Canis lupus familiaris: one gene and its partner. The protein of the gene in region 1 interacts with the protein of each later gene in a pairwise test. Links are inferred from orthologs where the notes say so. Each region holds a gene or a part of one and is shown in the gene's direction. Other genes may lie near its edges.

Region 1 (6,662 bases):
CTGCCCTGTGCCCAACTCCATTTCTCTGGGGATGAAACAGAGACCCTTCATGAAAGGGCCTGCAGAGCTTGATATACACTTGGTGCAGCATAAATGCCTCTCTGGTTGTGAATCCACGGGGCAGTGGCTAATGCTCTGGAGCCAGACAGCTCAGGTTATATTCTGACTCCAGTCCTTGTAGCTTTGGGATATCAGGCAAGTTCCTTACCTTCCTGAGTCTCAGTTTTCCTGTCTGTTAAATGAGGACACATAGAGCATGCATTTCGCTGGGTTGTTGGAAGCAGGAATGAGTTACTCTATGTAAACCGCTTAGGAGACTGCCTGGCCCATGCTAAGAGCCATCTAAGTGTTAGCTATTAAAATAATAATTATTATTTCTCAGTCTGTCTGCCTATCTTAAGTGTCTCTGAGTCTCACTGTTAGCCTGCATGACGCTAACACTGCCCCCGGTCTGTCGCTCTGGGCATCTCTCCCTGCCCTGACCCCCGCCCCCATACATCCACTTTTCCTTGTTCCATCTTTGTCGTCCATCTCGACCCTCTCTGGGCCAGCCTCACGTCTGTCCAGGGCTCCCCTGGCCTGGCTAACCTCAGCCCTGGCCAGGGCTGATTCACTGTGCCCTCCTGGCCTGTGGGACCTGCAGGTTGGCTTCCCAAGATGCTGCCCTCAGGCTAGACCTGCCCAGCCCCCCAACGCTGCCCGCTGCGCCCCCGCAGGGCCCGGCCAGATGTCAGCTGCAGTTATTAGCATGGGCGGGAGACACAGGCCTGGCAGCTCGCCCGCCAGACTCAGCGGCCAGCCGCTGGAATCTCCCTTGAGCCTGGGGTGGGGTTAGGGGAGCAGTTCAAGCAAGAGGAGGAGGGGAGGGAGCACCCAGGGGTCACAAGGACCCTCCAAAGATGGGGATACCCCCAGCTTCTCATGGGACCTTCCTCCCTAACTTCACTGCTCTGCTGGACTTCCCCAGCCCCCACATGGCTCAGTTTCTTTTTTGCCTCTTTCATTTTCCTTCTCTTCCTGGCACTTAAGTGTGCTCTCTGCCTGTCCCACAAAGGCAGGCTAGCCCCTGTCTCTCAGCCTCTCTCTACGCTAAAGAAACTTTCATCCTCCCAGAAGACAGAGGCATCTCTCTCTGAGAGAGAGAGAGAGACACTGAGCTTCCACCAGTTCTAGTGGCTCACATTCTGCTTGGAAGTCCCGCCTTAAGTCTAACTAGGAGCCTCGCTATCTAAACCTCAGTATAGTGCTGGGAAAGGGGCACAGAGTTCCCTTAGATTCTCTCCCCTTGGATTTTCTGGTCTCCTCTGACGGGATGAAGGAGATACCCTGGAGAGGAAGAGACTGTCCACCCCTCTTTTAGGTATTCTGGATGGTTGAAGGACCCCCAGATTAAAACGGGAATAAGGCCCTTTGCCCACTGGTGTGAGGGAGGGAAGGGGCATCCTAGCCCCTCGGGATGTGGGAGGAGAGGCCCAGACCTCCTGGTGGAAAGGTACCCCACCCGAGGAAGGAGGCAGTCGTGCCAGCCCGCCCAGGCGCCGGGGGCGCCTCGAGGCATTGGCCCGCCCCTCCGCGCCCAATCGGGCCGGGGGCGAAGTCCGACCCAGGCCCGCGGGCAGGCGGGGACCTGCCAGGCCGGGCCGGGCCCGGCAGGACGCAGCCCCAGAGCAGCTGGGTGGGGCCCAGCGAGGCGGCCGTGGGGGCCTCGGGGGCGGCGGCGGGGCTGGTCGGGACTAGCCGTCCGGGGGCCCGGGCGCGCCCTGGGACCTGGCAGATACCCGGGCTCCCGGGTCCTGGCTCCGGGCCCCGGGACGGCGCTGGCCCCACCCCTTCCTGTGTCCTTATATGGGCGCGGGGGAGAGCCTCCCGGGGCCGCCCCGCCCCCAGTTCTGCCCGCGGACTCCGGCCTGTTGCCATGGCGACCAAGCCCGCTCCCGGGCGCGTCCCCCTCCGTCGGGCTAATGGAATCGTCCCCGGACCGCCTGCCTCCGCGGTCGCCTGCGGGTGCTGCGGGCTGAACCATTGCTGGGAGAGGGAGACTAGAGGCCTATGCGGCTGGGCGTGTTCTGCGCACCCTGGCCTCCGCCAGGGTCGCACGTCCACGTTCCTCTTCTGAGGCGCAGAACCCAACCGGACCCAGGGCGGGGCGCACGGTCCCGTAGGATCCGAGTGACGGAGGCAGGGCCGGGCTCCTTCCCCCGGGGCTGTTGCCACACTTCCTGCCGCGGCGCTCTTTCCCCAGCCTGTTTCTAAGGAAGGAGTGGGGTTGGGCGACCGCGCCCGGGCCGTCGGGGTAGGTTCAGCACCCTGAGTCGGCACGGTGTCGGTCAAGCCCCGGGTCACGGGGGGAGGGCTTGGAGATGGGAGCAAAGTATACTGGCGCCTAGAAAGCACCCACAAGAAGGGGTGGCCAGTCATGGAAGATCCAGCAGTCCAAATCCCCAGGATCCTCAAAAACCCCTCCTCTCATGTCTCAGCTGGAGACCCTGTGTCATTATCATCTCGGCTCTGAAAGTGTGTCCGGACTCTTAACTCTCCTTCATCAGGGCTTTGCAGATGACCCCAGTGACTCCCAACCTCTGACAGGGTCCCCCCCCCCATAATTTCCCAGACTCGGTATACCCCGGAGCCCTCACTTTCTACATAACTAGATTCCCCTTATGGAGGCCCTCAGTCTCTCCCATGGACTTCAGGACCCCTACTCATTTTTTGCATAATGGATCCTCCATCCCCTCCTTTTGCCCTTTTGATCCCCCCCTCACTTTTCCTGGGTTCAGTCCCTCTATTAAAATTCAAGTCCTTTAACCCCTCTGTACTCAGGACCCCCACACATTACCTTACCCCTCTCTCATTTACTCTGGTTGATCCTCCTGTCTCACCTTTGTGGGGTCTCCCTGTGTATATAATCAGCCCTTCAACCCCCCTCGAATACTCCGAGTCCCTCAGGCCTTTTGTGTACACCCTGGAGACCACCCCCGCCCTCCGCCCCAACACGCACACGCGCACGCACGCACACACACACACACACACACACACTTGCTTTGTAACAGTTCCTCGCATCCAGGGGAATCAGTGCCTTCCCTGGAGTCCCTCCCCGTGTATCTCGGACCAGCACCCCTTCCTTCGCGCACCCCGGGGTCCCCTGAGCCCCTCCCCCTGCAGCCGCGCCGAGCCACCCAGCCCGTGGCCGCTGTTTACAAGGACACGCGCTTCCTGACAGTGACGCGAGCCGCCTCCTCCCCTTCCCCACGCTGGAGGAGGGGGGCGCGGGGGCCCGGCTCGCGCGACGGCCAATCGGAGCGCACTTCCGTAGCTGACAATAGCCGTATAAAGGCGTGTGGCTCAGCCTGAGCTGCCGGGACCTTGAGCGCGGCCAGGCCAGCACCGGAGTCAGCAGGGAGCGGGGAGCAGGGGGAAGCGACACCAGGAAAGCGAGCGCGCCGGACAGGGGCCGAAGGGCTCGAGAAGCCGCACGGAGCTTCCGCGCACCGCCGCCGGCTGGCCTCTCCCGGCCGGTGCCAGCTCCTGGGAACGCGCGTCCAGATACCCAGTCCAGCCACCGTCGCGGACAGGGCGCCGCTCGCCGCAGCGAGGCCCGGGGCGGCCCCGCAGGGACCCCCCCAGACCGCCTGGGCCGCCCGGATGTGCACTAAAATGGAACAGCCCTTCTACCACGACGACTCATACGCAGCGGCGGGATACGGCCGGGCTCCGGGCGGCCTTTCTCTACACGACTACAAACTCCTGAAACCCAGCCTGGCGCTCAACCTGGCCGACCCCTACCGAAGTCTCAAAGCCCCCGGGGCGCGGGGCCCGGGACCAGAGGGCAGCGGTGGCAGCAGCTACTTTTCCGGCCAGGGTTCGGACACAGGCGCGTCGCTCAAGCTTGCCTCATCGGAGCTGGAGCGCCTGATCGTCCCCAACAGCAACGGAGTGATCACGACGACACCCACGCCCCCGGGACAGTACTTTTACCCCCGCGGGGGAGGCAGCGGCGGAGGTGCGGGGGGCGCCGGGGGCGGTGTCACCGAGGAGCAGGAGGGCTTCGCAGACGGCTTTGTCAAAGCGCTGGACGACCTGCACAAGATGAACCACGTGACGCCCCCCAACGTGTCCCTGGGCGCCAGCTCGGGGCCCCCGGCTGGGCCCGGGGGCGTCTACGCCGGCCCGGAGCCACCTCCAGTCTACACCAACCTCAACAGCTATTCCCCAGCCTCTGCGCCCTCTGGAGGCGCCGGGGCCGCCGTCGGGACTGGGAGCTCGTACCCGACGGCCACCATCAGCTACCTCCCACACGCGCCACCCTTCGCTGGCGGCCACCCGGCGCAACTGGGCCTGGGCCGAGGAGCCTCCACCTTCAAGGAGGAACCGCAGACCGTGCCTGAGGCGCGCAGCCGCGACGCCACGCCACCGGTGTCCCCCATCAATATGGAAGACCAGGAGCGCATCAAAGTGGAGCGCAAGAGGCTGCGGAACCGGCTGGCGGCCACCAAGTGCCGGAAGCGGAAGCTGGAGCGCATCGCGCGCCTGGAGGACAAGGTGAAGACACTCAAGGCCGAGAACGCGGGGCTGTCGAGCACTGCTGGGCTCCTCCGGGAGCAGGTGGCCCAGCTCAAACAGAAGGTCATGACCCACGTCAGCAACGGCTGCCAGCTGCTGCTCGGGGTCAAGGGACACGCCTTCTGAACGCCCCCCCATACGGACATTCCCCCAGTCTGGACGACTGGGCGCACGCCTCCCAAGGGGCGAGGGGGCAGGCGGTGGGCACCGGCCCCCGGGGCACCGCAAACCACACTGGACTCCTGCCCGCCCGCTCTGCGTCCAGTCCTTCCACTTCGACGTTTACAAGCCCCCCTTTCGCGTTTTTTTGTATGTTTTTTTTTTTTCTGCTGGAAACAGACTCGATTCATATTGAATATAATATATTTGTGTATTTAACAGGGAGGGGAGGAGGGGGCGATCGCGGCGGAGCTGGCCCCGCCGCCCGGTACTCAAGCCCGCGGGGACACTGGGGAAGGGACCCCCGCCCCCTGCCCTCCCCCCTCTGCATCGTACTGTGGATAAGAAACACGCACTCGGTCCCTAAAGAGTTTATTTTAAGATGTGTTTGTGTGTGTGTGTGTTTGTTGTTCCGACTTTTTATTGAATCTATTTAAGTAAAAAAAAAAATGGTTCTTTATTAATTTGTTGTCTTTTTTTCCAAGCCGGGCGGGAGGAGGGAGGAGAATAGTGGGCTGCCCCCACCCCACTCCTGCTTGTGACTCGCGCCAGTGTCCGTGTCCTCCTCGCCAGCTCTACCTAAGCATCTTGCAGCCCTAGTGCGGGCGGCGGACCCTTCTCTGGCCCCCTCCTCCCCGGGGTTGGAAGGGCCAGGGCGGGTACGCGGTCCAGCCGCCCATCACCAGGGGGCAGGAGGCCTGGGGCGAGACGCGCAGTGCGCGGGCGCAGCCCCGCCCAGCTGCGCGCGCTGGGGCTTTCCCCGCTGACGCAGCGGAAGCGCTGCCCCTACATGGGCCGATTCTGTCCAGTGACGCGCCGGCGGTCTCCGGGCAGATTCCGGGAATCCCCTCCCCCGCTCTGCCGGGCAGGGCTGCGGCGCCGGGAAGGGGGCCGGGATTTTCCCAGGCAGGCGGCTGCCGGGGCCCGGAAAGCCCCAGGCCTGGGTCCAGAGCGTCCGCGGTGGGAGGGCCAAGCTCCTGGGTCCCGGAGCCAGCCCCGAGCCCGCCCCATCGGGTCGGCGTCGGGGCCCCGCCGCGCCCACGCGCGCTCCGTCTGACCTGACCCGGGCGGGGGGTTGCTGCAGCCTTCGCGCCGCCGCCGCCGCGGTACCCCCCCACCCCCGCCAGGAAGGGCGGCGCCCGCCTGCCAATTTCCCCTCCCGGGTGCCAGGTTGGGAGCAGGGCGCAGGGCGACTGCCAGGTCTGGTCCTGCCGGGGCGGCTGCTCGGGCTGCCGGGCGCCGCCGCCCTCTCGCGGGACGCCCTCCCCCGCAGCTGGGACGGGTGGGAGGGCGGCTGGTGCGCCCGGAGGGGGTCTAGCTGGCTTCGGATCTTGAAGCCCCCCAGAGCGGCAGAGAAAAACACAGGCTGAGAAGCCGCAGGGGTGGGGTGGGCAGAGCAGACGCTTCATTAATTCATTTACGAAATGCTCAACAACCTAGCCCTGGAGACACTGCCCGGACCGTGGCAGACAGACAATAAACAAGCAGACAGGATTCGGAGATTGTGGTAAGTGCTAGCAAGAGAAAACAAAACAAAACCGGTCAAAGTGGTAGTGATGGGGCAGGGGAGGGCTTTGGAGAATGGATTGGAAACGTGGACCTTTAATGATGCGAGTTTTCAGCTTTAAAGCCAGGCTCTGAGAAAACAACGTTCTGGGCAAGAGGGAACAAACAGCACATGCAAAGTTCCTGTGGCCAGAACAAGACCAGCCTATTAAAGAACAGCAAAAAAGCAAAACAAAACAAAAACAAAAACAAAAAAAAAAAACAAAAACTGTGTTCCTGGATTTGAGTGAACCAAGAGTGCGGAGAGGAGGTCAGGGAAACCACGGAGGGCCTTGGGGAAGGAGTGTAGATAAAATTCCAAGGCCCAAATGAGTGATTTTGGAGGATTGTTAGGCTGGATAGCAATATTAATAATGGGTCTATGGATTAAATGAGGT
Region 2 (6,561 bases), on another chromosome or scaffold:
TAACCTCTCATGGTTTTTTTTTTTTTTTATGGGGACTGATGAAGATATGCTTAATAATTTATGACTGTCTTAACACTTTGCTTCCCGCTTTTTGTTTTGCTTAAATGTTACTGCTGGGTTATCAGGTTGTGGCCATATGGATTGGTGGTAAATCCAGTTTTTTTTTTTTTTTTTTTTTTTTTTTATTTATTCATGGGAGACAGACAGAGAGAGAGAGGCAGAGACACAGGCAGAGGGAGAAGCAGGCTCCATGCAGGGAGCCTGACGTGGGACTCGACCCTGGGTCTCCAGGATCACACCCTGGGCCGAAGGCGGTGCTAAACCACTGAGCCACCTGGGCTTCCCGTAAATCCAGTTTTGAGTGTCCACTCTCAGAGGGCAGGATGCAGGTTGTTTTCTTGTGTCCTATGACTTTTTGATTGTGAACGAAGAGGCATGATTTGGTGACAAGCACTATGGGAGACTCAAAAACTAGCAACCTCTACAGAGGTTACTAAGGGCATACTCTGTCCTGGGAGCTTTAGGATAAAAATCTTATTTTATCCTATGCTAGTCCTAAGCATTAGGCCGTTAGAATGATTGCTGCAGAGATGACTGATCAGTTGTTCAGGGCATGCATCTCCAGTCCTAAACCAGTGCCTGGCACATGGCAGGTACTCAGCTAATACTTCTTGAAAGAATGAATGACTCGCATTTACAATAAATGAGAAAGTTGAGCATTCGGAAAAATTAACCCATTTCCCCCTGGCTATACTGACAGTAAGAGAAAAAACTGGGGGCTATGTATTTCTAAAGCTAAAGTTCTGTGCTGTACATCACATTTTATCCCTATGGTGTTCTGGTTATGTTAACCAAGACTTCTTTGCCTTTAAAAAACTACATTTTAACACCTTGTGCCAGTCCCTTAAGCATTACTTCCAGACCACATCCATTTGCTGTATTACTTTTATATATGTTATTTATTTGTCTCCTTCTATAGACTTACGTTCCTCCACATACTGAAAATTCCTTACCCATCAGAACTTGGGGAGAAGATATGTGCCTCTTCTATTTGGAATACAACACCAGGGATCCCTGGGTGGCGCAGCGCTTTGGCGCCTACCTTTGGCCCAGGGCGCGATCTTGGAGACCTGGGATCAAATCCCACGTCGAGCTCCCCGTGCATGGAGCCTGCTTCTCCCTCTGCCTGTCTCTGCCTCTCTCTCTCTCTCTCTCTGTGACTATTATAAATAAATAAAAATTTAAAAAAAAGAATACAAGACCAGATAAAATAACTGAAATTACTCATTATTTCATATTATTAATATTTGCTTTCCATTAATATTAATACTTAAGTAGCTTTCCTGTATTTGTATCTTACTAACCTCTTGGTATTTATTTATTTATTTATTTATTTTTAAAGATTTTATTTATTTATTCATGAGAGAAGCAGAGATACAGGCAGAGGGAGAAGCAGGCTCCCCGCGGGAAGCCCGATGTCAGACTCGATCTCAGGACCCGGGATCACACCCTGAGCCAAAGGCAGACGTTCAACCACTGAGTCACCCAGGCATCCCGACCTCTTGCCTCTTAAACTATCTCTTTAAAACAGGATACCCCCTCCTCACCCCTTTGGTACCTTCTCACAGGATTCTGGAAAACAAATACTCTACTTCTCCATGTTTTTCTATGACTGAAATGTTTTTACCTTGGTAGGTACATTTTTTTTTTAGCCTGCCTGTTTCAGAACACTTGAAAGATTCAACTAGGCTTGGTTAAATCTCATATAAAGCTGAGAGCTTTCAAGACACCTCATCAGTTTGCTTTCTGATTCACTCTGACCCGTGAAACAAAATGTCCATCATGCATTGTTCAAATGAGGTGGTGTTTAAGATCATTGGATGTGTTGGTAGAGTTGTGTGTTTGCAGTTAGTTATAAGCGTAATATTTGCACGCGGCATCAAAAGTACCTGTTTGTGTGTGGTGGCATAAGTCCTGGCACACAGCAAGTTCCAGATAGCACATGCCTTCTGCCTTCCTTGTTCTCAGATGGACGTTGACACCGCACCTCTTCCAGGCACACACCCTGTGGGGTAGAGGTTTATGAACGTTGGTTTGGAGTCCAACAGACCTGAGTTCCACTTCCCATTTACCCACTTACAAGCTGTGATACCTGGGCAAGTTCCTTACCCTCTCTGAGTTTCTTATCCTCATCTTTTAAATGGCAGTCACACCACACATTTCTGAGGGTGCTCATGGGTATTAACACGTAAGGCCAGCCCAACACGTGGGGAGTGCTCCTGAACTGCTGTCCCTCCCATGAAGAAACAAGCGCTGGCCCTGATTGCAAATAAAATAGTGAAGCCAAGCGATGCTGAGGAAAGAGGGCAGAAGAGGGTCAAGGAAGGGGCCAGACAATGCACCTAACCAGACGTTTCCCCCAGAGTCCCGAGGATGATGATCGGAAGGTCCGAAGGAGAGAAAAAAACAGAGTTGCTGCTCAGAGAAGTCGGAAGAAGCAGACCCAGAAGGCTGACAAACTCCACGAGGTGAGCCTGTGGTTGGGGCAGAGCCACATGAGGGCCCCCCCGGAGAGGAGCCATCCTCCGCTCTCGCACTGTGGTGGCGGCCCCAAGGTCATGTCCTGGTCGCCACCAATTTGGACACTCACATCTCATTTCACTGTGTCCTTCCAGCCCAGTGTTGGGATTCTTCACTCACTGACATCTTTCTCCCTCATCCAGTGGTTGTTTCTCACTCTCAAGTTCCTTTTGTAAGTCAAAACAGAATAAAACAAAACCTCCTCTCCATCTCAATTCTTTTTCAAGCTACTGCCCCATTGATTTTCTTTCCTTCCTCCCTTTCCAACTCCTTCAAGAGATCCTGCTGTTTCCACTGGCCTCAGTGCCGTTTACTCCCCGGTCCTCTCTGCTGGCCTCTCTGCTGCCCTTCCCCACCCATGCACGTATGCATGCACCCATACCCACGAACACACACGTGCACCCACGTACACACACACCTATGCATGCAACCCACATGTACATGTACATACCCCCCACATACACGTGTGTGCACATGGCACACAGCCATGCACACATCCACATGTACACTCACATACCCACACATGCACATGTGCACAGCCATGCACATACACCCACACACGTACACGTGCAGGCACACACATGCACACACACGTACATGACCATACGTGAGTACACATGTGCGCACACACACCCCCTTCCTATGGAAGCTGCTCCTGCAGAGGTCGCTAGTGCCCTGGCACTGTCTGGTCCAGGGGCTTCTTTCTAGGCTCATCAGCCATCACATCACTTTGCTGAAACATTCGACACCACTGACCCTCCCCTTCCTGAGACGTTCTTTCAAGGTCTTCAGCTTCTAAAAGACCACATTTCTCGCTTGTCCCTTTTAACCAACACACCAAACTTCTCAGTTTCTTTTGCTACCTTCTTCCTCTGTCAGTTTTCTGCAATGTTGGTGTTGACCAGGCATTCAGACTCTGCCCTTTAGCCTTTCCACCCTGGAAGATTTGATCTATGAACCTGTTCTCTCAGCATTAGCTCCCCACATTGATTACTCCATGCAAGACCTCCATTCCGGGGCCTTCACCCCATATCTCCAGCGTCTGCTTAGATGTTGCCAAATGGGTCTGCTGCAGGCTGCTTGGATGCAGCATGGTGGTGATATGTGTTTCTTCTGAGACTCTTTCTTCTGTCTTCACACTGAGTTAATGGAGCTCGCCCCCTTTCTCATCACCCACATCAGGAACCTGGGATTTATCCTAAACTCTTCCAATTTCTTCTACCCTTATGCATAATCCCACAAAATCTCAAAGCCAGGACATGGGAACTGCTTCATATCAGGAACTGGCCTCAGAGGCGCCCAAGGATCTGTGCCAAGAATGAGCGACAGTTCTGAACTCTCATCTTTACACAGGATGGGTGCAAGTAATTGAGGACTTAAGTTTAGCACTTCCCTGCTTGCTGTCTTGGCATAGCTTGTCTCAGCTTGTTCTGGGGGTGTTGACAGCATAGCAGGCACTGAGGTGTTACAAGGGGGAACAACAATCTCTGAAAACCCTTTCCTAATAAACTGAGAACTGGTTTAGGATGCACATTGATCCACTGATAGAAATTCAACAGTGGGCATAATTCATAAACATCAGCCTCTTTCCTTGGAAGTAGGGAGACTGGGCCCTAAAAAAGAGATAAGTGATGCACTACACTTAATTTCAGTAATTCACACAAATACTGTGGTGATGGCCAGAGAAGGTCCTTCCCAGCCTGTATTGGTCCGGTAAACTTTCCCTAGAAGAGTTGGAATGTCCTTTGCTTCCTTTCTTCCTTCTCCTTGATCCTGAAGCAGTCCGGGTTTTAGCCTCATGTTACTAAAAAATCCCAGAGGGCACTTGTGGCTCAGTTAGCACTTGGCCCTGCGTTCAGACCCCGTCTGCCCTTCCCCTCAGGAAGCTTCTCATCGAAGCCAGGTGCATTAATATAAGAAAACACTAGGGGACACTCAGTTGTAAGTCCGAAGTGATTATGTGTGTAGTGGTGGCTAAATGACATAGATAACACACATGTGTTATCCATAACACACACGTGTTCCTTCCATGGAGTGAGGGCGAGTAGATTCATTCCACTAATATTTGTTAGCACCACTGTAGGCAGGGCCTTGCTGCTGGATCACAAAGAGAGGGAGTAAGCTCTCATTCCTATTATTGGAAGCATAGGAGTTTTTGAGGCAAGTATATGGTCTCCTATGAACTCTAATGAATTCTGACCAATTTGGTGGCTTAAAACAATGCAGGTTTATTATCTTACAATTTTGGAAGTCAGTTGTCTGGAATGGGTCTCATGGGGCTAAAATCAGGGTGTCAGGAGGGCTGCATTCCTTTCAGAGGCTCCGGAGAATAATCAGTTTCCTTGCCTTTTCTGGCTTCTAGAGGCTTCTGTGTTCCCTGGCGTGTGGTCCCCTTTCCATCTTCAAAGCCAGCACTGGCTAGTTAAGCCTTTGTCAAGCTGCACTACTCTGACATTGTTCCATTGTCACATCTCCTTTGACTCTTGACTTCTTCTTTCACTTTTTTTTTTAAAAAGATTTTATTTATTCATTCATGAGAGACACACAGAGAGAGGCAGAGGGAGAAGCAAGCTCCATACAGGGAGCCCTATGTGGGACTCTATCCCGGGACTCCGGGATCATGCCCTGAGCCCAAGCAGACCCCCAACCACTGGACCACCCAGCTGTCTTCTTTCACTTGTAAGGACCCTTGTGATTACATTGGGTTCATCCACATGATCCAGGATAATCTCCCCACGTTCAGATTCTTAACTTAATCACATCTGCAAGTTTTTTTGTTTGTTTGTTTTTGCCACATAAGGTAGCATATTCACAGGTTCCAGAGGTTGGATGTAGACATCTTTGGGAAGCCCTTACTCTGCCTACATAAGAAGGTAGCAGAAATACTACAGTGTCAAAAAAAGATGAGTTTCTCTCAGTATCTGTCATTGTTGGATTTGATACCCAAATGAGCCAGATGCCTGGGGAAGTTAGGGGTAGCACCACATTTACTCCTGCCTCATTCCTCTTAGAACTGTGGTAGGGGACCCTTCTGTAGGGTTCCTAGCTTCTCTTGGGGTCCATACACTGTGTCACATGACCAATTATGCCAGGTGCTCTTTTGGGAAATGGGGCTAATTGATCTGAAACCCAGTCCCTCCATGGGAGAACATTCCCTTCTCTGCCTCGATGGAGCCAGAAGAGTATATCAAGTTTACCCACCACTGACCGATCACCTTGTCAAGGCCAATCTTTTTTTTTTTTTTTTTTTTGTCAAGGCCAATCTTGAAGAAACACAGCTTCAAGGAGGCCAGGACAGTGACTCCATCCATATATAGACCCCAAAGCTGTAGTCCACACTTTTCCGGTCACTAGCTACATACTAGTGTTATTGGTCACATGGAGGTGTGGGGGCGCAGGTGGCTGGTTCAGGAAAATGGAAATGCAGCCCAGTCCTACTGTAGAAGGGGAATGTCCTCTCTGGACCCAAGGGTAGCACATGAATAATAGCTCTGCTGTTTTTTGTTTCATTTTGTTTTGTTTTAAATATTTTTTTATTTATTCATGAGAGACACAGAGAGAGGCAGAGGGAGAAGCAGTCTCCTCGCAGGGAGCCTGATGTGGGACTCGATCCCGGATCCTGGGATCACACCCTGAGTGGAAGGCAGATGCTCAACTGCTGAGCCACCCAGGCGTCCCAATAGCTCTGCTGTTAATTCCTCATCTCTTTCCAGGGAGGGCATCACAGTAATGGGGATCTATGTTCTGCAGGGTTAACGTAGGAAAAAAAGTAAATATAGTTTAAAAAAAAAAGTATTTTTTTTAAACTTTGAAAAAAAATCTACGTATTGAGGGTGGAGTGTCAGGTTTAAAAATGTGGTGAATAGTTTTACTGTGCTCCAGTGAGTGACCCTAGCATGCTGCTCTGGGTCCTTGGAGAAAAGCCCTTCAGGCCCCCTCGGGTTCCAGGCCACATCAAGGATGGGGAAAGTGAGAGCCACA

The links.
Region 2: the proteins of JUNB (region 1) and BATF3 interact in binary tests that used the Homo sapiens proteins (3 or more experiments, as listed by UniProt). The link is inferred for Canis lupus familiaris from reciprocal best matches to the Homo sapiens genes JUNB and BATF3.

What each region holds. Positions count from the first base shown.
Region 1 is NC_049241.1:49,755,930-49,762,591, reverse strand, and holds JUNB (transcription factor jun-B), read left to right. Parts: upstream 1-3,346; 5' UTR 3,347-3,642; coding exon 3,643-4,686; 3' UTR 4,687-5,183; downstream 5,184-6,662. UniProt on the Homo sapiens protein: Transcription factor involved in regulating gene activity following the primary growth factor response. Binds to the DNA sequence 5'-TGA[GC]TCA-3'.
Region 2 is NC_049228.1:10,702,630-10,709,190, reverse strand, and holds part of BATF3 (basic leucine zipper transcriptional factor ATF-like 3), read left to right. Parts: intron 1-2,423; coding exon 2,424-2,528; intron 2,529-6,561. UniProt on the Homo sapiens protein: AP-1 family transcription factor that controls the differentiation of CD8(+) thymic conventional dendritic cells in the immune system.